Linked DNA regions of Caenorhabditis elegans. The protein of the gene in region 1 interacts with the protein of each later gene in a biochemical or structural test. Each region holds a gene or a part of one and is shown on either strand. Other genes may lie near its edges.

Evidence for each region. The genes of interacting proteins can lie anywhere in the genome.
Region 2: of the proteins of npr-6 (region 1) and flp-14, one has a biochemical effect on the other in vitro, tested with the Caenorhabditis elegans proteins (one study listed by BioGRID).
Region 3: of the proteins of npr-6 (region 1) and flp-34, one has a biochemical effect on the other in vitro, tested with the Caenorhabditis elegans proteins (one study listed by BioGRID).

The regions. Positions count from the first base shown.
Region 1 is NC_003284.9:10,281,510-10,288,033, reverse strand, and holds npr-6 (G-protein coupled receptors family 1 profile domain-containing protein), read left to right. Parts: upstream 1-2,299; 5' UTR 2,300-2,338; coding exon 2,339-2,422; intron 2,423-2,551; coding exon 2,552-2,638; intron 2,639-2,689; coding exon 2,690-2,784; intron 2,785-2,833; coding exon 2,834-2,919; intron 2,920-2,976; coding exon 2,977-3,089; intron 3,090-3,308; coding exon 3,309-3,485; intron 3,486-3,573; coding exon 3,574-3,749; intron 3,750-3,796; coding exon 3,797-3,934; intron 3,935-4,425; coding exon 4,426-4,499; intron 4,500-4,547; coding exon 4,548-4,631; intron 4,632-4,788; coding exon 4,789-4,883; 3' UTR 4,884-5,215; downstream 5,216-6,524. Other genes in the region: slc-9B.1 (Cation/H+ exchanger transmembrane domain-containing protein), read right to left, coding at 5,525-5,656, 5,711-5,881, 5,996-6,151, 6,194-6,524.
Region 2 is NC_003281.10:12,908,285-12,916,281, reverse strand, and holds flp-14 (KHEYLRF-amide 4), read right to left. Parts: upstream 5,773-7,997; 5' UTR 5,771-5,772; coding exon 5,639-5,770; intron 4,689-5,638; coding exon 4,565-4,688; intron 2,849-4,564; coding exon 2,719-2,848; intron 1,588-2,718; coding exon 1,542-1,587; 3' UTR 1,352-1,541; downstream 1-1,351. Other genes in the region: Y37D8A.16 (MARVEL domain-containing protein), read left to right, coding at 854-985.
Region 3 is NC_003283.11:1,026,554-1,035,645, forward strand, and holds flp-34 (FMRF-Like Peptide), read right to left. Parts: upstream 6,852-9,092; 5' UTR 6,833-6,851; coding exon 6,777-6,832; intron 5,100-6,776; exon of another isoform or gene 5,032-5,099; coding exon of another isoform or gene 4,976-5,031; intron 3,270-4,975; coding exon 3,153-3,269; intron 2,683-3,152; coding exon 2,617-2,682; intron 2,016-2,616; coding exon 1,953-2,015; intron 1,609-1,952; coding exon 1,593-1,608; 3' UTR 1,341-1,592; downstream 1-1,340. Other genes in the region: R09A1.3 (UPF0496 protein), read right to left, coding at 294-382, 447-512.

The DNA.
Region 1 (6,524 bases):
TGAAAAGAGTCATAATGACGTACAAAAAAAGAAGATTTTGCTCTCAAGTTTATAGAATTAACATAATTTGTCTGAACTATATATATATAATAATTTTGTCTGAACATCTCACCATTATTCACTTTCGACGGAATATCTCTCATTTTCTAATTCAAGTGTAAGTTGTTTATTATCTACAAGTTATTTCCTGGCTTTGAATATTGCTTCAAAAACGTTAATTCAGGAATTTTCTAGGTTGTACTATTTTAATCGCAACATTTTTATTTTTTAATACAAGAAATATTACAATAATCGTCAGAATAAGTAGAAAACATTTTTAGAATATATTCAGTAAACGGCTGATGAAGCTGTACAGTGCAGATGCAATTATTCTAGTTTTTCCCCTAAATTTACCCATTCAATATTGGCATATTTAAATACAAATACAAGTTCACATATATTCAATACGTTTTCAACAAAATTACATACAATCGAAACAATTTCTGATTTTGTTGTTTTTTTCGAACTCTTCCCGAAGATATGAGTGAATAAGTGAAGCTGATCATGGTTTTTGAGGCTTTTTGCTGAAAACATATCATCATCATTTTCGGAGAACACAGAACTCACCAACCAATTTGATTCACTTTAGTTTCGTCGTTCGAATCAAATTTTTATCTGACTAGTAAATATTATGAATTAGAAGAAAAACGTCTGAGTTTTTTGTTCTCGGTCAACTGATTTTTTCTCCAAACCGTGCTCACTTATCTATTTTGATAAATGTGACGTTTCATTAAAATTTTCGTTGTGTCATCAAGTATACTCCTTGAGCTAAAATTTATATTAATTTTCGATTTATTCTGATTTCTGTTTTCAAAAATGTTTTCCTACGCTCATTATCCAATTTCTATCCTTTGCCTTACAATTTTGAGCTGTATTTGGTTGTCTCAGTTTCACCAAAGCTTATCCGCCCTCTCAGAATTGTTTACTTTAGTTCATGTGCAACGTTTCTCCTTTTCCACCTCAAGGAGTGCTTCAGTTTTTCTCGACTTTTTTCTGGTGCCCCTCATCGCCCGGTCGAAATTCAATTTCCGCGGTATTGGAGTCGGATTTCCAGACGAAAAATAGAGAATAGACGGATGAACCCTATACATAGACAGGGCAAGGGCAAAGACGAAACTATCAAAAGGAAATGTTCTAAAAAAGGTCACCTACTATGCGAGTCCTTTTTTTTGCAACAATGAGAGCTTTATCAATCAAGATAATAACATTATCCTTGGTTCGTAGTAGCCTACATCTCATGAATGTTTCACATCCCACCATTTAGAGAGATTAAATCCATTGGCTCCTTACATTATCTTTTTTCTATTTCTTCTCCACGTCCATATTTCATTTCTGATTTTCAATTGAAACCAAATAATTTGAATCTAGCTTGTTGAACTTACGTAAGCGTCTTCTTCTTCGAATTTCGACCCTTTCTTTCTGTTTTTTATAGGAAATTCAAAATTCGCTTCATCGAAGATGAATTCATAACATAAATCAAAGGACTCTCGATTCGCTTTGTGCGTTTGCGTACCAGTTTTTAGGCAAATTTTAAATAAATGAGTATGTAGTTTGTTTAACGTAAAGGGAAAAAAGAAGGGTCTCAGCTTATTTCGAAAAAGAGAAAATTTCTCACATGTATATGGATTCTTTCCCTTTTAAAAGTTCACGACGCCTCCTCTTTTCTCACTTTGAGATTCACTTTTCGCGTCTAGAATTGCAAGTCTCACACAGAAAGTGAGAAAATAAGAAAATGAGGGAAGTGTTTGGCTCATGTTCTCTTTTTTATTTGATTGACAAGAAGAATTGAAAACAAACAATTTTTAAAAAATCATTGAAAACTTTGGGTTCTATTGAATCTGTTTAATAGTGTATTATTAATATTGTAATTTTTATTGATTTTTTTTTTCAAAAATCATGACATCAGTTTTGTATTATATGAACTATGTAGATTTCTAGTTTAGATGTGGTCGCTCTTCTAGTGTCAATTGCAAAGATGCGAATATCATTAAATTTTCATAACTGACTTAACATATTCTCAATTTTATATTCTTTTGGGAGCTTTAAATTTGAAAATACTTCTAACATCTTTTGCTCTATGAAACGTGTCAAATCTCGTTTTTTCTCCTTAAAATCAAGTTCATTTCCGACTCTTCCACCGCGCCCACGTCAGAATATTATGAACTTAAAGAGGTCTAAACGAGACACATCGCAACCAAACATATCCAGTTCACAATTCTTAAAATGTACTCGATTTATCTCCCGATTCTAATATTTTCAGCTCTTCGTTTATCCCAATTTCTGATAATATTTGATTCAGATGTCGAATGATCTCGTGCCTTCAGTGTCTTCTATACTAAATGAAACAACACCTTCATATCAAAGTACATGTAAAATCAAAAACGTAAGTTTTCGTGTCCAAAATTGTTCGTGAACGTTTGAAAAAAAATCAAAAATGTTCATTGAAACTATTTGATTATGAATTATTTTAACTGAAGCCGAGTAATTTTTATTTTAAAAAAACACGTTTCAGAACCCCATGGAAATGGAATATTTCCGCCCATTCTTTATTTCTATGTATTGTGCTGTTTTTTTGGTTGCTAGTTCCGGTAATTTTTTGGTAAGTAATATCATTTTCGATTTCTCCAGTTTTCCAACAACTGTGTTTAAGGTGGTGTACGTTGTGATGACGAACAAGCGAATGCAGACGATCACCAACATTTTTATTACAAATCTCGCAGTTTCTGATATAATGGTTAACTTTACGTGGGTTTTTTTTGAAATCGGAAGTGATATATCCGGTTCTTATATTCAGATCGTTGTGGCTTACACCAACATACACCTCAATAGGACATTGGATATTCGGAGGTGGATTGTGTCATGGTTTACCCCTGTTCCAAGGTATTGGTTTACATATAGACGGGAAGTTAAGCAGTGATCAAGCATCTAACTATACAGGTACAAGTATCTTCATCAGTACGTGGACACTTACGGCTATAGCCATAGATCGATACATAGTGATCGTGCACAACTCATCAAATATCAATATAAATGATAGAATGTCCATGAGAGTAAGTTGAGCAGGAACAATGTATCAATAAAAAACCTAACTCCAAAAAACCAAAACTCTCATTTCTTAGTCTATAGAAAGGTGTTTTTGAAGTACAGTTAACAAAGTAACCTCCATGAAAATAATAGTTTTTCCTGTTTTCGGTGTAGAACAACTTTGTAATTGGAAAAAATTCTAATTTTTAAAATTTTTTTGAAACTTTCGTACATACCAAATTCAGTCTTGCCTTTCGTTCATTGTCCTCATTTGGCTATGCTCATTGCTTCTGGTCACTCCGTATGCCATCAACATGAAGCTCAACTACATTCATGAACCATGTGATTTTCTGATATGTAGTGAGGACTGGAGCAATGCCGAATTTCGATCTATTTTTGGAATTGTGGTGATGATTCTTCAAGTGAGTTGGGGACAATGAAATTATTTGTATAAATTACCGGGGGATTATATATACATATATCTATGCCTATGCACAAATCAATTTTCAGTTCATTTTGCCATTTGTACTCATTGCCATTAGTTACATAAAAATATGGTTGTTCCTAAATAGCCGTCAAAGTATGACCGAGAGAAAATCCGATATCAAGCGCAAAAAGCGTTTACTACGGATGTTGATTGTCATGGTGGTCATCTTCGCAATTTGCTGGTTCCCATTCAACCTCTTGTTAGTTTAGAAGTGAATAATATGTCATATATTTGAAATAAATTCAGAAACTGTCTCCGAGATCTCAAGTTGGATAATTTCATGCGTGGCTACTTCAGTTTTGTTTTCCTTTCCGTGCATTTGATGAGTATGACAGCTACCGCCTGGAATCCAATCCTCTACGCATTCATGAATGAGACCTTCCGGTGGGTTTATGGGATTTGCATTTCGCCGCCGTCTGGTCGAAAACCCGTTTTAAACAATACAGACAACAATTGATAATCATTAGTGACTCAACGATTTATTGGAAAATAAATTGCAGTTAAAAGATTACGAGGGGTTGTTTTCTTCTCGTTCAGGTTGAAAATACAAGTTATAAAATTTGATACGTAAACATGTGCTAGAAAATACAATTGATAAAAAGTCAAGAAGTTTTATCTTAGACTGCATTTGTGTGTTCAGTTCTCATTTATTTTATTAAAAATTTATTTTTTATAAATACTCAATAAAATTTCCTCTCGTGACACTGTTTCTTCTTATAATTAGAAACAGATTAAACTAAAAAAAAAGACACTTTTTGGTAAATTTAGGATTATTTAAAAAATTTGCACAGTTCAAAATTCAATTAAATTCAATTAAATTAAATTCAATAAATTGAATTATTTAATTTTCATTTTCTTGCAATGCTCATTTTCAGTGAGGAGTTCGCAAAAGTTGTTCCCTGCTTGTTTGCGCGTCGTCCTGGAACTGGTCCAATTCGCGTCATCACTGGTAAAACCTGATAAATTTGAAGTTATTTTTGCTTAGCTTTTTTTTTAGAACGCACCGCTATGATAACTAACCCGTTTCGACGTGCAAACCGAAAAAAAAAAGTGGAGGAACAGCCTGTTACGGTGATTTCTGGTGAGTTTTACTTTTATGTTGTTTGATCCTTAGTTATTCTTCGTTAAGAACTTTTACACCCGACATCCAACGAAGAATAGGAAGCCATTCATTCCCTGCATGCACTCGTTGTCAGTGAACTTTTCAACAAACCAGCAATCTTTAGAAACAGATTCAGAGAGTCCACTTCAAACTGCAGTGGAGCCGCAGCGCAGTATCGTGTATCTCGATGAGCCTGAGAACGGATCAAGTTGTCAGACGCTTCTGCTTTAAGCCGCTCAATACAAAACCGGAAAGTCAGAACAAAAGTCGCTTTTAGTCATGTCACTTGCCAGTACATTTATCCGCTTTCCACTTGCCTTCATATGTAATTTTCATAAAAACACTTATTCAACATTTTATTTTTTTGGTCATATTGTTTTTCTTTCCTAAGATTTTTTCAGCTAAATCTCTGATCAAACCTGTCCTGATCTAAACTATGTGGTTATACTTAACTTATGCACTGCTGTATTTGCACAAATCTTGCTTGATGCTGATTTATCTTTTGTTTCTTCTTCTTGTCACATTTTGATAAAATATTTGTAAATGAAATTTCATATTGGTTACAAAAAATTGGTTCAACTGGTGTGGTTGATAAGATCAGATATGGTTCAAGTAAGAAGGGTATAACAGAATCATGACGAAATTTCAGAATGACATATTTAAAAACATGCTGGAACGGGAAATTGGTAGATGTGGATAAGTAAAATAAATCGAATTGGAAAATTGGTGAAATGTCTTTTCCTGGTTATGGTCATTTAAATTGAATTTGAATTGACTTGATAATAATATTATAAATATGGGAAATTAGGAATTATTTTGTTTTTTTTTTCAGAGGAAAATTGTAATAAAATCTAAAAAGTTTGGGTAAATTTTTAATATCTTTCGATAACAGCTTCACTGCGGTATTCCGAATATGTCTTCGGACGGGCGGCATAGATGGTTTCATCAACATGATCACCATTCATATAGGTTTTGTCAAAATTTTTCTCAATTGCCGGCGCATCCTGAATGAAAATTTGTTTCACATTGCATTTCAAAAATGGGAGTGAGAACGCTACCTGTGGATTGTATTGAGAGAGACATTTAGATCCAACAAGATTGAGAAGAATATCAAAAATAGGAGCTGTGATTAGAACAGATAAAATGGCAGCTTTTAAGATGAGTGCTGCATCCTTGGCCATGTCTGGGAATGGTGTAGCCATCAAAAGTAGAGTTGGAGCAAGGTCGGCCTAAATTAGCAAATTTTCAGCTAAAGTTCCACTGTGTTTAACATTTTGAAATTTTATGTGTTTCATACTAATAGAGTGAAAAAAACATGATACCAAAAAAAACTGTGCACAAACCTGGAAAGTGGCTCTTGGAAGCAAGCTCAGAGCAACAACAATTTGCTCTTTGAAATTAATGTGTGAGGAGAGTGTTACCAACATTACCAAAATCGTTCTTACTAACAGACCAATTGCAATAACAGCAATGCACAAAAACACAATCTCCCATGTCAGCTGAAAATGACACTTTGAAAACATCAATCTCTAACTACTTACAGTTGAGCAGTCAAACTTCATTCCGAGGCAGATAAAAAGAAGTGGAAGCGCGAAGGAATCCCATATGTATTTATATGTAGACTCAACGCATTCTAACTTCTCTTTATTATCTGCTTTCCATTGCATTGCACTCATTGCACTAGTGATGAGAGCGGCGAGAAAACCAGAGCAGGAGTACTTGATAAGATAAGTTCCAATAACAACTGCAATACAAATAGTACCAAGAAGAGTTATTCTTGCGAATTGAGTGTGTGGAGCATCTGATCTTGGGAATCTCCACAGAATCCATCCAAGTACAATTCCGCCGATGCATCCAAATACAATACTTCCA
Region 2 (7,997 bases), on another chromosome or scaffold:
AACCATGCAAAATCAGTGGAGAACTCTGCGTCTCTTCGCCCGCATTTTTTTGTAGATCTACGTAGATCAAGCCGAAATGAGTCACTTTGACACCAAATGAACACTTGCCAAATTTTGCAGAAGTTCGGCAACTTTTTTCTAAATTTCGCCAGTGTTCTAAATTAAAATCTTGGAGTTTTTCGTCAATATCCGCCATAATTCGCCAACTTTCTCCAACTTTTGCCATTTTTTATAAAAATTTTGCCAGAAGTTGCCAACTTTCGCTAGCTTTTTCCAAACTTTCGCCGACTTTGCTAAACTTTGTCAGTGTTCTAAAAAAAACGGAGTTTTTCAATTTTGAGTTCTCTAACTAAATAATTTCCCATTTTAGAGGAGTTTCAAAATTGTGATTTTTTGCAATAAATTGTCCATTTTTGCCACTAATGGTTTTTGACGGGTTAAACCTAGATTTTCTGAATTGTCCATATACGATTTACCCGTTTTCAACAAATTTAGGCAACTTTTTATTTTTGCCCATTTTCATTTTTCTGCCATCTAACGGCTGTCCTTTTTTTTGGGGAAAAAAATAATTTTTCTGAAAATGTACAAATTAAAACCGCTACATTCTGAAAAAGGGCATTTTTTAAGTGTTCGGAGAGCAATGTTGAGTCCTCTAACTACAAAATTGCCCATTTTAGAAAAGTTTCAAAATCGTGCAATTTTTCAAAAACTTCTGTCAGCTTTTGCCAACTTTCGCAAACGTTTGCCTGCTTTTACCAAAAGTTACCAACTTTTGCCAAACTTTGCTAAATTTTGCCAAACTTCGCGAACTCTTGCCAAATTTAACAAACTTTTCAAAATTAATTTCTTACAGGCAATGGCTGGACTCAACGTTGGATGCTTCCTCGGCATCGCTGCCATTTTCGTTGCAAATCTTGTCAACGATAAGATTCTACAGCGCTCGCAAAAGTTCAATAAATACGATCGTGGAGTTTACGTGCAGTAATTCGGCAGAAGTCTTGGGATTTTTTATTGCTCATTTTCATGTAAATTTCTAATACGATCTACTTATATTTATTCTTTTTTTTTTGTTCCATTTATCTCGAAGGGATCTTATAATTGCGTTTTTGTTCATTTTTTGGAATTATTGACAAAAATTCTAATAAAAAATTTACCGTACATTTTAAAAAATTCGAAGTGTTTTTTTTTCTGAGCATTCCAGCAAAACTTGTCAAAAAATCCAGATTCCCAGAAATTTCTACAAGACCCAGAAGTTTGCTTTCTTTAAATCGTTTTTAAAGTGGTTCATCGTGAACCTTGTTTAATGTCGGTTGCGCACTTATCTTCCTCTGACTTCTAGAAAATAACTCTTAACCAACGACAAGATTTATTACAATTTCTTCTTTCGACAATGCTGAGAGGGAGAGAGAAAAGAGATAGAGAGAAAAATATAGAAAAAAAAATCTTTCAAAAAAAAATGGTGTACTGTAGTTCCGTCTTTTTCTTCTTTTATTTGTATGGTTTTCAAAGATGTTTCTTCGATGATAGTAGATATTCCCTTCTTATTTGCGTCCGAAACGCAAGTATTCGTGCTTTCTCTTTCCGAATCTGAAAAAAATAGGGGAAATTTGATGGAACACAATTTCCTTTAGAGACATCGTGTGACATTTGATTTAGAAACAAACAAAAAGAACACCGAATTTGAGTCGAAAATTCAATTTTTGAAGTTTAATAGTGTTACGGAAAAGTGCGAAGATCAGAGCTTGTTCTCTCCGTTAAATTGTGCTCGAAAAATCACGGATTTCTGGCTTCCCTCATAAATTGAAATGGAAGAGTTTGCCAAACTAGGCCATTTTGGCTCGGTCATAGCTGGGGTAGATTTACGGCGCATTGCGTGTCGCGTCGCGGCTTGATTTTAGTTGTAAATCTAAATCACTTGTCCGTGTGGAGTACACGACTTTCCCACGCGTTGTCCGGCAGGCGATTGTCAATGGAGCGCGAAAAATGCAATGAGGAAGGCCTGAACCCCGTGAAAGTGGGAAAAAAAATTCGCGCATAAAATTCGATGCACAGACATCATATTTTACGCGCAAGTTTGTTACACGATTTTTCAGCCACAAATACAGGTCTCGACGCGACAAATTTTTCGTTAAATTCGAAAAGGTGTGCGACTTTGATTTTCATCGATTTTTCAAAGTTTTTCTATCATTTCCTCGAGAATTTGTCCGTATTATTTTTGTGTAAATAAATAATATTTTGCAGGACACTACAGTAATCTTTATAGGCTTTTGAATTCCTTCTGTATTAAAAAAAAACAAGCAAATTCGTGTAGAGACCTGAGAAGTATTACGGTGACGCAAAAATGACAATTTTTCGAAAAAAAAGTGCAATTGCGCTCCAAACGCTGCCATAATTTGGGTCTCGTTAAGAAAATTGGTTCCAAAAATTTCCTGGGTGTATTCATTTGTACGTTGGAGCGTATTTGCCCCCATCTAACAGTTGCAGCTTTTTGCGGCGCCATAATAACATCTGCCTACTACTGCCTGCCTATTGCCTGCTTATTGTCTTCCTACTCCCTGTCTGCCTACTGCCTGCCTACTGATTGCCTACTGCCTGTCTATTCCCTGCCTGCCTATTGCCTGCTTATTGTCTACCTACTCTCTGTCTGCCTACTGCCTGCCTACACCCTGCCTACTGTCTTCCTACTGCCTGCCTTACAACTAAAAAAAAATCACAAACCTCAAGTACTCGTGCTTCCTTTTTCCAAATCTGAGATACTCGTGCTTTCTCTTTCCGAATCGGAGGTATTCGTGCTTGCGCTTCTCCATGTCATTGTCTCCCTCGTTGGTCTCCTCCTCGAGAGCCAATCCTGCAACAACGTTTCCCATTGGGATCAGACCTCAAAGCAAGAGCACAACCATCATTAAGAATTTAAAAAGAATTTGGCGCTTTACATTTTAAAAGTCAGGGGCTTTTTCAAGAAAATGGCGGAACGTGATTGATAGTCTAGGCTTTCGGCTGGGTCACCGGAGGCTTATTTGATGCAGAGAAAATGAAGTTTGACTCATGCAGCTGGCAAATCGGATGTCTACTGTCTGCCTGCCTACTGCCTAGTTCCTGCCTACTGCCTAGTTTCTGCTTTCAGCCTACCTACTGCCTACCTACCAGGCCTGCCGGATTTTCTGCTTTTTTTTTTGAAATAATTTTGCTTTAAAAAAACCGAAAAATCGAAAAAACAAATTTCGGCGGCGCCCCTGTTTCCTACTTCTGCATACTGCCTGCTACTGCCTACTTACTGTCTGCCTACTGCCTGCTGCCTGCCTGCCTACTGCCAATTTTCGTTTTTCAGATTCCAATTTTACGGTATTTCCATTTTTCGGTTTTGCTAAGACAGAAAACCAAAAAAACTGGATAAGGCACCCCTGCTGCCTACTGCCTGTCTACTACCTGCCTACTGCCTACCTACTGCCTACCTACCAGGCCTGCCGGATTTTCGGTGTTTTTTAAAGAAAAAATTCGTTTTTCGGTTTTGCTAAAAAAAAACCAAAGGGAAAAAACTGGCAAAGGCACCCCTTCTGCCAACTGCTTGCCTACTGCTTGCCTACTGCCTACCTACAGCCTGCATACTACCTGCCTACTGCATGCCTACTGCCTACTGTCTACCTACTAGGCTTGCCGGTTTTCCTGTTTTCCGGTTTTGCTAAGACAGAAAACCAAATAAACTGGCATAGGCACCCCTGCTACCTACTGCCTGCCTACTGCCTGCCTACTGCCTGCCTGCTGCCAACTTTCGTTTTTCAGATTCCCATTTTACGGTTTTTCGATTTTTCGATTTTGCTATAAAACAACCAAAAAAAAACTGGCATAGGCACCCCTGCTGCCTACTGCCTGTCTACTGCCTGCTTACTGCCTACCTAGTATTTGCCTACTACCTGCCTACTGCATGCCTACTGCCTAGTTCCTGCCTTCAGCCTACCTACTGCCTACCTGGCCTGCCGGATTTTCTGTTTTTTTTTTTTTAATTTTCGTTTTTCGGTTTTGCTAAAAAAAAAACAGAAAAATCGAAAAAACAAATTTCGGCGGTGCCTCTGTTTCCTACTACCCGCCTACTGCCTTCCTACTGCCTGCCTGCTGCCTGCCGGATTTTCGGTTTATTTGAAAAAATTGTTGTTTTTCTGTTATGCTCAAAAAACCAAAAAAACCTGGCATAGGCACCTCTGCTGCCTACTGCCTGTCTACTGCCTGCCTACTATCTACCTACTATCTGCCTACTGCCTGCCTACTGCCAACTTTCGTTTTTCAGACTCCAATTTTACGGTATTCCGATTTTTCGGTTTTGCCCAAAAAAACCGAAAAACCTGGCAAAGGCACCCCTTCTGCCTACTGCCTGCCGACTGCCTACCTACTGCCTGCCTATTGCCTACCTACCAGGGCTGCCGGATCTTCGGTTTTTTTTTAAATTTTTTGTTTTTCTGTTATGCTCAAAAACAACCGAAAAATCGAAAAAAAAATTTTCGGCGGTGCCCCTGTTTCCTACTGCCTGCCTCTTGCCTGCCTACTGCCTACCTACTACCTGCCTACTTACCGTGAGTCTGAACGAGACGTTCAACTCCCTCCGAAACGAGAGCTCCGAGCTGAGCAAGAAGCATGCTGCTCTCGCTTAATTGGCACAAAAGCGCCTCTTGTTGATCGCCGTTGTTGGCCAGAATCTGGAAAATGTGTTTTTTTACAGTAGTACGTTTTTCAAACCCAGTGATTATTCCGGAACAAAATCCTTGGGAAAAGCACGAAAATTACATGGTTTCAAAAAAAAAACCAACCGGAAGCCTTGTAATTATAGGTTCAGATTTTTGTCGAGGACTACGGTGAGATGAAGCCCGTATTTGACAGCTCATATCTCGGCTATCTTTAGCTTTATCAAAAAGTTGTTAACTAGAAAAATATAGGTTTTTTCTTTTTCTGCAACTTTATAGTTTAAAAAATTTTGCTATCTATAAAATGAACCGAGTTATGATCTACCAAAGTGGAGTTCTAAAAAAACTTTGATCTACTACTTTCCAACCCCACAAAAAAACACATTCAAATCAAACAGAGAATAGTATGATCAGGTTAGAATCATCTAGATTAACTATGAAAAAGAAAATAGATTTTTTTTCTATTCATCGCAAGTTGTTTAATCTTTATTGTGCATCCAATCCTCCCCCGAAAAATGAGCAGAAATTGTGATCTTATTAAGTTTACTACAACCGAAACGTCATGAGGATCAAAAGAATATCATATTTATCAAATTTTTTGTCCAGAAAATGTGACGGCAGCACGTTCTTAACCATGCGAAATCAGTTAAGAAGTCTGCGTCTAAGTTCCCGCGATTCTCGTAGATCTGCGTAGATCAAACCAATACACAGTAGTCATTAGTTTTCGCTGCGTGATATTTTGCGCGTCAAATATGTTGCGCAGTACGCATTCTCAGAATTTTGAGAACCATGGGATGTATGACGTCACGCAGGCCCTAACTTAGTTTTCGAAAAACTTTTCCAAAATGCACTAAACTATCTCATTATAACTTCCACTTGCAGTTTTGAAAAAAAAAACTTTTTTAAACCCAATTATAAACATGACTTTAAACTTCTTAGAACAAAATGGTTTTTTTTTGACTCACCGCTTGACAATCCTTCGGATTGTGTGGAGCCTGTGCGGCTCCAGAAGCTCCGGCTCCAGCCGGTGCCTCCTGGCCACTGGCGGCCACGACGAACGCGGAGAGCAGAAGCGCGGTGGGCAGGCAGATCATCATATGAAGAGAGCTCTCAGTTGGAGCCAGAGGAGACTTCAAAATGGGCGGAGCTCGGTGTTGAAAGTGAAATGTTGTGGGCGTGGCTTGGTAGAGCTCGAGGAGAAGAAAAAAAAATGAAACAAAATTCAAGAGTACGGTAGCACTAAAAATTTTACGAAAAAAAAAACAAATACTAATTAGCCGAGGGGATGGGGTCCCCGGATTAGCAGGATTTCGCTAAAATTTTCCGGGAAAATTGGAAAAGAGAAAACACCTCAAACATCTGAGAATCTGCCCCGGAAGTAATAAAAAATAAAAAAAACCAAAAAAAATGTATCGGAGGTTCCGTAAGGAGGCCCAGGGGCATATTGAGTTAAGTGACAGAGGAGGTCAATGTTTGAACAGAGCAGATGTATTGATAGGTCAGGCTAGGCAAGTCTAGGAGTCTAGTGAAGAGTAGGCAAGGCTAGGTGAGCCTAGGCTAGGTGAGGCTAGGCTAGGCTAGGCTAGGACAGACTAGGTTAGGTTAGGCTAGACTCGGTAAGAATAGGACAAATTAAGCTAGGCCAGGTTAGGCAGGCGATGGATAAGTTAGGTAAGGCTAGGCCAGGCTAGGCTAAGCTAGGCAGGGATAGGTGAGGGTAGGCTTGGCTAGGCTTGACTAGGTTTGGCTAGGCTTGGCTAGGCTTGGCAAGACTGGGAAGTTAGATTAAGCTAGGCCCGGCTAGGTAGACATAGGATAAGATAGGTAAGATAAGGTTGGACTAGGTTAGTTAAGGGTATACTAAGCTAGGCTAGGCTAGGCTAGGTGAGGCTAGACTAGGTAGGCGTAGGATACGTTATGTAAGGTTGGCTAGGCTAGGCAAGACTGGGATTCTAGGCAAGGTTAGCCAAGCTGGGAGTCTAGGCTAAAATATGCTTGGCTAGGCTGGGCTAGGCCAGCCTAGACCAGCCTAGACCAGCCTAGGCTTTGCTCAAACTATTCCCAAATTAAACGTTCAGAACAAAAAAGGAAGTATAGAACCATCGCTTAATGTTGTTTTCGTGCAATTCTCCACGTGGTGCTCCGTTTTTTTTTCTTCTAAAATTTGTGTGTGCTCGTTAAGTGTTTTCTTTTCTTTTTTCACTCGAAAGAGGCTGCTCTAATTGGTCTGACTTTGTGAAAAATTGTAACTTCCAGAACAAAATAACACATTTGTCTTTTTTTGAATTGCCGCATAGTGACATAACTTGGGTCTCGTTAGGTTTTTGGCGACAAAATCGTAAATTCAAACTTTTTTATATCTCCTGATTTCGTTAATTTTTCTAATTTTTTCAGTGTGTTTTAATGTTTTTTGTGACGAAAAAAATCAAAAAATCAAAAAATCGAAAAAAATCATTAAAAATAACGAATAATAGCTAAAACGACCAAATTCCTAATGAGACCCATTTTATGAAGACGGAGCGTTCCGAGAGAGTTGGGAACATCGGCCATGACCGCGACGGAGCTTCAAAAAATTTGCGGAAATGATGCACAGGCTTCTAGCCTTCCTCATCGATTTTTTCGCGCTCCATTGACAATCGGCCGCCGGGAAAGTCGTGTGAACTCCACACGGACATTTAGTTTTACAATCGAGCCGCGACGCGACACGCAACGCGCCGTAAATCTACCCCAGATATGGCCGAGCCAAAATGGCCTAGTTCGGCAAACTCTTCCATTTCAATTTATGAGGGAAGCCAGAAATCCGTGGCCTTGGCCGCGGCCTAGGTTCTCAGTAAACTCTGCCATTTCAAGATATGAGGGACTCTGAAAGCCCGTGAAGAAGGGCCAATTTTAGGTAGTAAATAGGCTTCTTAAGCCCACGCATTCTTCAAGAAAAGTCGTCAACAACATCAGGTCAGTTTCCCTCGGGCTTTTTGTACTTTCTTAACCTATTTATCTGCCTTTTTCTTGTTTTTGTTTTCTTTTTTCCCATTATTTTTTTTTCTAATTAACGCTCATTCCAGATAGATTTTTTCCATGATATAACTTCTTCCTATGAGCTCCGAAAATTTTTTTTTGTAGGAAAATGGAAAATAATTAGAATTTGGAATTTTAGTCCCAAAAATCATCAAAAACAAAAAAGACGGGCGGCTCCCAGTTTTTCTGGAGTCTCTGGGGTATTCATTAGCGCGCGGAGCAACGTCAACTGGAATTTTTTCTGGGGAACGAAATTCGGTGATTCTGCCCGGAATTTGGGACGTTTCAAAGAAAAGTCCATTAGTAGAA
Region 3 (9,092 bases), on another chromosome or scaffold:
AATTTCCCGTAAAAAAAATTCTAAAAAATTTTGAATTACCCGCCACAATTTTTTTCTCTAAAATTTTGAATTTCCCGCCAAAATTTGGTTCACAAACATTCGAATTTCCCACCAAAACTTTTTCTTAGTCAATTTGAATTACCCGCCACAATTTTTTCTCAAAAAAAAGTTGAATCTCTCGTCAAATTTCTATGATGAAATTCGAACTTCCCGTCAAAATTATATTTCTCAAAAATTTGAATTCCCCACCAAAATTTTCAAAAAATGAAATATTTTCAGTACAAAAAACCCACTCAATAATAATCTGCGCCGTCGATGTTCCAATATCCATTGATCGTTTTCTTCCAGAGCCCCCTTGGTTCGCATTCGTGGAGTCCGTTTGCTGAAAAATTTCTCATGACATTTAAAAATAATTTTGAAATGAAAAATTGCCGAAAAAAACCCACCTGTCCTGTTGGAGTTGCCGGTACAACTGTAATTTCATCATGCACAAATCCTTGATTTTCAGACATTTTTTACTGGAATTATTATAAAATTTCAAAAAATTGAGAAAAAAGGGACAAAATTTATAAGCAAAGACGTTGGCTCAACAAACAAATAAATAAGATTTTGTTTTCAAAAATAGACAAAAAATTATTTGAAATGTTTCGAAACTCGAAAATATTTTCAAGAAAAAGGTCAATAAAGTTAATAGAGTGAGGAAAATAGTTTCACAACTTTTTATTTGTTTGCTCGGACATTATTTCCTTCTCTGATAAGACCATTTCAGTATTGGTCACTGCTTTGATAAGGGGTTTCTTGTCGGAAATACATAGATCTGTCTCAAAGTTCTTAACTTTTTTCGAAGTGGACTCATTCGAAATTGTATTCATTTAATCTGACATCTGGCAAAAGTTTATTCTGAGGAAATTAAAATAAACATTTGAGATTGAGAATTCTGAATTCACTCGAAGCCTATGGCCTACGCCTATGACTTACGCCTATGGCAAACGCCTATGGCCTCCGCCTATGGCCTACGCCTACGGTCTACGCCTATGGCCTACGCCTATTACCTACGCCTATTACCTAAGCCTATGGCCTACGCCTATAGCAACCGTCTTTGACCAATGCCTATGGCCTACGCCTATGGCCTACGCCTATGGCCTACGCCTATGGCCTACGCCTATGGCCTACGCCTATGGCCTACGCCTATGACAAAAAAAAAGATCAAACTTCAATGTCCACAAATATCATATTCAAATCAAAAATTCAAACCAAAAAAAATTTTGGCGCACTAATATCCCGATTGTTTATTCGACCATTCTGTTCCCGCTCTTTTTAGATCAAATAAATTTCAAAACAACAGACTCACAAACTTTATTTGATTTTTTTTTGAGAAAGAAATAAAAAATAAAAACGAGTTGGGGGGACTGATTTGATACAAGACAGGAAGATGGTGAATGATGAAAAATTTGAATAAGCGAATTTTTGAATGAGGAAAATTTTTTAGAGAATAAATAAATTAATTAAATATCTGAAATAAAAACAAAACCTCGAGAGAGAAAATTTAGAAAAAAAAACGAGACGGCTACGGACGGGCTGACGTGATGGAATTATTTACGGCCAAATCTGAAAATAAAATGGATTATATTTTGTTTTAGGCCATAGACGTAGGTCATAGGCGTAGACCATAGGCGTAGGCCATATACGTAGGCCATATACGTAGGCCATAGGCGTAGGCCATAGGCGTAGGCCATAGGCGTAGGCCACAGGCGTAGGCCACAGGCGTAGGCCATATACGTAGGCCATATACGTAGGCCATAGGCGTAGGCCATAGGCGTAGGCCATAGGCGTAGGCCACAGGCGTAGGCCATAGGCGTAGGCCATAGGCGTAGGCCATAGGCGTAGGCCATAGGCGTAGGCCATAGGCGTAGGCCATAGGCGTAATCTCGAAAAATAAAATTAAAAATTACCGTAATCGTTCCGCATTATTGAGAGAAGCCACCAGGGAGTCTCTGTTCAGCGCACGTTTGATTCTGAAATAATTTTTAGTTTCAGGAGGATTTCCTCAAAAAATTTGAAAAATTTTCATCCCAATGACCCGACCAAACGCCACGACTTTCTGATTCCGAGAAAAATGTCCTTTTTTTTTCAAACTCTCTGCCAAATTTCTAATTATCTATTCAACCATTTGTCATTCGAATTGTACATTTTAAAATTGTATTTTGTTGAGAGGGTTTAAATCTTGAAAATTCGGAAACATCTTTTTATAGCTTTGAAGCTTAAGCGCCCCCACGTCATAAAACTCCTCCGCTAATCCACTTTCAATTAGTTCCAAATTTTGATCTACGTTCCAAAATGCAGGAACAAACAGGTGAAATTTTGATTAATCACTAATTTATTCTATATTTACTACTTCAAAATTTCACCTGCCTCCTAAATTTTGTTCTTCAATTTTCAGGCCTAGGCTAGGCTATAGGCCTAGGCCGGGCTATAGGCCTAGGCCAGGCTATAGGTCTAGGCTAGGCCATAGGTCTCGGCTAAGCTGTAGGTAACTGTAGGCCTAGAATATAGGTCTAGGCTATAGACCTAGGCTATAAGCCTGCCTAGGTTCTTTTACCCCAGTGAGAAACTCACAATGCGTACGGATAACGTCCTTCCGAGTAGAGGTACTGATCTTCCGATGATGGAATGATGACATTACTGAAAATCACAAATTTCTCATAGGCTACATTACTTTTATAATTGCAAAGTTCTTATTTCAAATGACGTGATGATTTCGAAGAAAAGTGGTGGGTTGTTGCTGGAGCAAACAAGTTTGTAAAGAGCATCTCCTTTTGCTAGACACAAATTTGAGATTTCCGGTCAAAACACACACTTTTATTGGATTTCGAAAGGTTGGAGTGCGTTGAAATTATTGAAAAATGTCACTCGGAAATTGAAAATGTTAAAAAAAACTTAAATTTTCAAGAAAAATGAACTGAAAAGATAGAAAAAGTGCACACTACGTACCGATCGCTGGGCTCCAAATTGTGGAAAAAGTTTAGAAATCGCATAGGTTTGAACCAGCGTCTAGAATTTTTTCCATGACCAACTAGTTTTCAAATTTCTGCGCGTCAAATCTGGTGTTCCTCGATGCACCATATCTTACGCGCAAATTTCCCAGTACTCACTTTTCTTCCCACATTGCGGGGTCCGATCGTTTGCCGTATCGAAGCCGTCCAGCATTATTGATAGCTGATGCAAATGTGGAAATGTCTGCTTTTTTCTCCAGTGGCAGGGATAGTACGCTGCAAAACTTTTTTATGTCGTGACACAGCTGAAACTATTGCTACAGTAATCCTTTTTACTTGAATATCATAACATAGTCTAAGTATACACGTGGTGTTAGAGTGTCCCATTTCGGCTTGATCTACGTAGATCTACAAAAAATGCGGGAGAAGAGACGCAGAGTTCTCAACTGATTTTGTATAGTTAAGGACGTGCTGACGTCACATTTTTCTGGGCAGAAAATTCCCGCATTTTTTGTAGATCAAACCGTAATGGGACAGCTTGACGCCACGTGAGTATACCGAATATAACTGTTTTAAAAAATTATATAATTTTTCCAAATTTTCGAGGATTTTTTATATACATTCTTAAAAAAGTTTACAGGGACTACGATTTTTTTTAATTCCAGCGCAAATGAACGGAAATTTGAAATTTTCAAATTTAAATTTAAACTACGCCCAGAAATGTATTAAAGGCGCATGCCCAAGTTTTGGTGGGTCTCGTCGCGATTTGTGAAATTTCAGTTTTTGATGCATCATGTTCGAAATTCAAAATGTATGAAATTTCTAAATAGGAAACAGGTTAAAACTTTAAAAAATTTTTAAAAAAATTTCAATTTTTAGAATTTTTGGTTCAACTATTAACAGTATTACTACATATCTGAATTTATCAAAAATTTGTTGATCCAAATCTAGATGGGGGATTAAGCCTAGTTTTTGATTGTTTTGAGATGCTTCCTTGTTGACTTTTTCACAATTTATTACTCATGAGCATTGACTAATACTCCAAATTAATCCCCTTTTGTTTCAGAATTACTTTTTTTTTGTGGATTTTCAAAAAAGATCATGAAAAAAATCCTACTTATCTCAATTTTGCCACGTCATTGAGAAAAGTTGAACTGCAATTTTTGGTCGAAAACATTTTTTTCAAACAGAAATTCACCTGCCATGATGTTTTGCGCAGACAAGCTAAATTTAGATTTCGAAAAGATTTAAATTTGAGTAAGTAACTGAGTAGTAAGTTCAAAAATTAGAAAACATCAAGTTTTTATAATTTTTAGATTTTTTAAAATTGTTCTGATTTTTTTCCAAAGTTATCCCAATTAATTTTGTGATTCTAAAAATTGTCTTAAACTGAAATGAACATAAGCTTATCCAAAAAATTAAAAAAAAAGCTCAGAAATTCAAACTTCGACCCAAAAAATTTTAACCAAATTTTGGATTTTTTTTTCTTTTTTCCAAAAATTCAAAAAAAAAACCTTATAACTTACAAATTAACACATATATTTAATGAGACTATAGTAATTTTTTTTTTGAAAAATATTGAGTTTTTTCTAATTATCCTAGATGATACTGCACCCTTAAAATAGTTTTTGAACAAAAATCATTAAAAAAATTTTTGCAAAATATTTTTGGCCCAACCAATGTATTAAGTTATAGATTTTGGTTCAGTTAAAGGTACTACAGTAATACTACAGTAATACTACAGTAATACACTATAGTAATGTTAAAATAATGTAGGATCACAGTAAACAGAAATATGGTCTCTTACCAAATTTTAAAACAAAATTTTCGTATTTAAAAAAATTCAAAAAATTCATAACCAACAACTTTCAAATTAAAAAAAATCATATAATAAAACTACCGTACTTTCAACAAAAAAAATCTACAGTACCATTCCCTACAGTACCCCTACAGTACCCCCACAGTACCCCCACAGTACCAACCTGTCAGTTAAAACCAAAGCAACAAAAATCAGAGCCATCAAAAATTGGAACTGCATGTTTTAGAAAATATGTTTAGTAGTGGAAAATGTGTGTGAGTGTATGTATCGGGTGTCGAAAACAGAATGAGCTTTCTCCCCCCTCTTGCTCGCCGAGCCAAAAGTGGGCGGCGCCTAATGGTGGGTGCTCCCAGGAAATGATGCCTGCCTTTCATCACATTCTTCTTTAATTTTTTCTTGTTGCCACGTCATCACACACAGCTACGGTATTTTTATATACTATACGATGAATCCATGACAATAATACGATTGTTTTACGACTTTTTGGGTGGTAAATTAGGTTTTAGGCTTAAAGCAGGAAGAAGCTAAACGGAAATGTGGTGCCAATTAAATGGAATGGTTTTAAACCGAAATTGGGTAACCGGATAGAATTTGTTAGCGGTTTTCGAGGAGGGAAATATGGAAAAACAGAAAAATATACACAGATATATACATGTATATATTTCAATTTTGAAAGCATCACCGCGTCACTTTTATTTGCGAAAAAACAAATTATTTTCCCTCTCTGCCAAAATTACAATTTCATAATTGGGTTCCTACGAGGGAGTGGGCTCAGGAATTTCTGAAATAGCTGAAATATTATAGTTTTGAAATTTCTAAAAATTTTAGCAATTCCGGCAATTTTTTTCGAAAATTTATACAGAAATATAGAAAAACATTTGTACTTTCTGATAATGGTATTACTTTTTTCTTTAAAAATTCAAAAAGCTGCTCAAAACCCACCTAAAAGTCAAAATGTGCCGATAGAGTCAGTGACCCTAGGTGCATTACGGCCGGCTTTGAGGCAGTTTTTCGGCAATTTCTCAAACATTTTAAATAAAGATAAAATTGTTTTCAGAAAGAACAGATATTTCTCTACATTTCTATATAATTTTCCAAAAAAATATTTTCAAAAAATTTTTTTGGATAAAAATGAGTTTTGTAAATGAGCCCCATCCCTCTGTTTGGAAATAAAAATAAAAATAAAAAGTAAATTTCCTCAATTTCAAATTTTCCAAAAATTGTTGATGCTATGCAATTTCCGACAGCAGGCACCTAATTGCCTGCCTGCCTTCAAAGCAAACCCCATGAAGAAACTTAATGGAAATGAAAATAGACAGAAATTAGCAAATATGCATTTTTATTGGAGGCGGCGGTAGGCAATAGGTAGGCACATAGGCAGGCAGGTCTCCTTCTAACGCGTCCACGAGAAAGATAAAACCCGTCCACATTTAAATTTCGAACAAGGTAATTTTTATCGACTTTTATATTTTTCTACGTCACATATAGTAATCTATATCGGTTTTACCTATAAAAATTGCGGGAAATTCATCGGTATGACGTCACTTGAATTTTACTGCGAGACCTTCCAAAAATACTATGTTTGCGAGTTTCGAAAGCCTAATTGCTTCCTCATATTTTTGAATACATTTTTTTCAAATGTAGTTTCATAATAAAAAAAGTGATTCTGCATAAATAAAATGTTGATCTAGTTATCAAAAAACCCTTCACCTGGTACAAATGAAATTTGATTCGTTTTTGCTTTTCAAAAACCAATTTTTGATCTAGTTTCATAGATTTTGACAACTTTTGTTTGCTAAAGAGCTCAGATTATTTGAAGAATTTTAGGAATATTGTACCAAAAAAAAGTTCAAGTACCTACCTGCTTGCCAAGGTTAAATTTTCTAGTTGTAAGCCTTTAGAATCTTCTTTAGAGCTTTGAAATGAACCATGTAATTGTCTTAAAAAATAATTAAAAAAATTACCTGACAGAAAGAAGAACTGTGAAGAAAATGAGCAATTCTGTGATCAAGCTGTGCATTTTTATTCTGCAACGGGGGTACCTGAAAGTAAAATTTTTAGAGATTGAGCTGAATTTCAAAGGAATTCAGCAAAAATTTCCGAGAAAATGAGAGTTTGAGGTGAAATGCGGCTGCTACGTGGCCTAGGAAATTGGAAACTCGGCCATGAGTATTTTTTTTAATTTAAAAACCTCGAGATTAGCATACAGTATTCATACTAGAGGCCGCAAAAAACAAAAAATATCAAAAATAAATTCCTGGCCGAATTTTCTAATTTTCGCGGCCACGTCTGGACCAGAGTCAGAAACTGCAAGATTCCTGTAAAAATTCGAATAATACACGTAAAATTGTGAAAACTCAGGAAATCCTTCAACAAGTCCGTCGTATTTCGGAATGAAAAATTCATTAGCACCGCATATTATTTGAGACACAAAGCGCAAAAAAAGGAAATTTCCGAATTCGAATACAAATTAATATTTAATTTTTTTATTCTTGTTGTTAGAGGGCATGATGTCAATGTATATGAGGAAATCTGTATAGAGAGAAAATAATTTAAAGGGCATGAGAACTTGATGCAAATCAAGCACGTGGTCTGCAAATTTCAAAATTTTCGGCAAAGTGCCGGTTTGCCGAATTTGCCGGAAATTTTCAATTCCAAAATTTTGCCGATTAGCCGACAATTTTCATTTCTGGCAAATTATCGGTTTGCCGAATTTGCCGGAAATTCTATATTCCGGCAATTTGCCGATTAACCGGAAATGTTAATTTTTGGCAAATCGCCGGTTTGTCGAATTTGTCGGAAATTTTCAACTCCGACCATTTTCCGGATTTCCGGCAATTTTTGTTTTTGGCAAATTGCCGGTTTGCCGAATTTGCCGGAAACTCGAAAAACGGCAAATTGCCGACTTTGCCGGTAAAAATATTTACCGCGCACCTCTGGTCTTAATACACTCATACATTCAGATTTTCAAATTTTCAAATGTTTGAGAATATTTCAGGTTTTTCAAAAATTTTATATAGACAAAGTTATTGGCAAAAAATCTAATTTTCCAAAAAAAAAGAGGGTTGACCTCCAAAATTGGCGAAAGGGGAAATTTAGTTTTCCCTTTTTTGACTTCAATTAAAAAAACTCAAAAAAAAATTCTACCGTAATTTCGGCTGAGTGTGACGTCAATTTTCTAAAATATTTCTTTACTACAGTTGACCATGGGAAAATGGAAATTTTGGAACTTTCGAGAAATAAAAATTGCCACGAAATTTCCTCGTACATATTTCATAATTAGCAGTGAGAATAAATGACGTTAGAGAACTAAAAATAATTTTGAGATCCCAAATATAGATTGTTGTGAGAACTACATTTGGGTAAACATATCGTTTTTAGGTAGAGTTTTTGTAAATTTTCAGAGATCCCATGAAAATTTGAAGACACAAGGCAAATTGACTGAAGTTTTGCACCGTTTATTTAGTTCACCATAAGGCCAAAACATTTTCTAATCAATTCCAAGTAACCAAAAAGGTTAATTAAAAAATTTCTAATCAATCAGAATCGTCTAAGCGTCATTCACCTGATTGATGAATTTGTTTTGGTATTGACAAATTAGAAAAAAGGTTAAGAACCAAAACTATCTAACAACAAAAAATTTCGTAAACTGGAAAACTGGGACTCGTTTTGGTTTAGAAATAGTTTAACAACTTTAGAAATTTCTAGGCCCTACAAGGTCCTGTGCAAATATAGTTGTTGTTTTTGGCATGCCTACGAAAGTACCTACGCCTGCTTTATGCCTACTTCAATACAAACCCTCCAGTTTACTGACAATTCACAAAATTAGAAAGTAGGTAGGCGTGCCTGCCTCCGCTGCCTAGCAGCTCTAGAGCCAACGTCGCTGATTGGTCGGTGTTTTTAGGGACATGAAAATTGAATAATTCCCTTTGAAATCGGGCTAGCTTGCATTCTGAGGAAATGTGTTTTTTTTTGGAAAACTCTAAAGATTTTTTGGATTACCGAAAAAAGAAGGTTTAAAGAATTTTCACCTAGACACAGGATTACTGTAAAGGCACAGTCACGTAAATAAGCATCAGACATACTAAATTCTAAAAAATTATTTGAAGCCGTCATGAGACGCCAAAAATAACATAAACTATTATTTACCAGACCACTTTTTGTGATACACTTTTCCATAAAAAATACGATTAGAAACCAGATCAGACATTTGATCTAATCCCGTAATTCTGACCTACTCGCTCATCCCCGTTCATTTCTCGAGAACTTGGACGCCCACC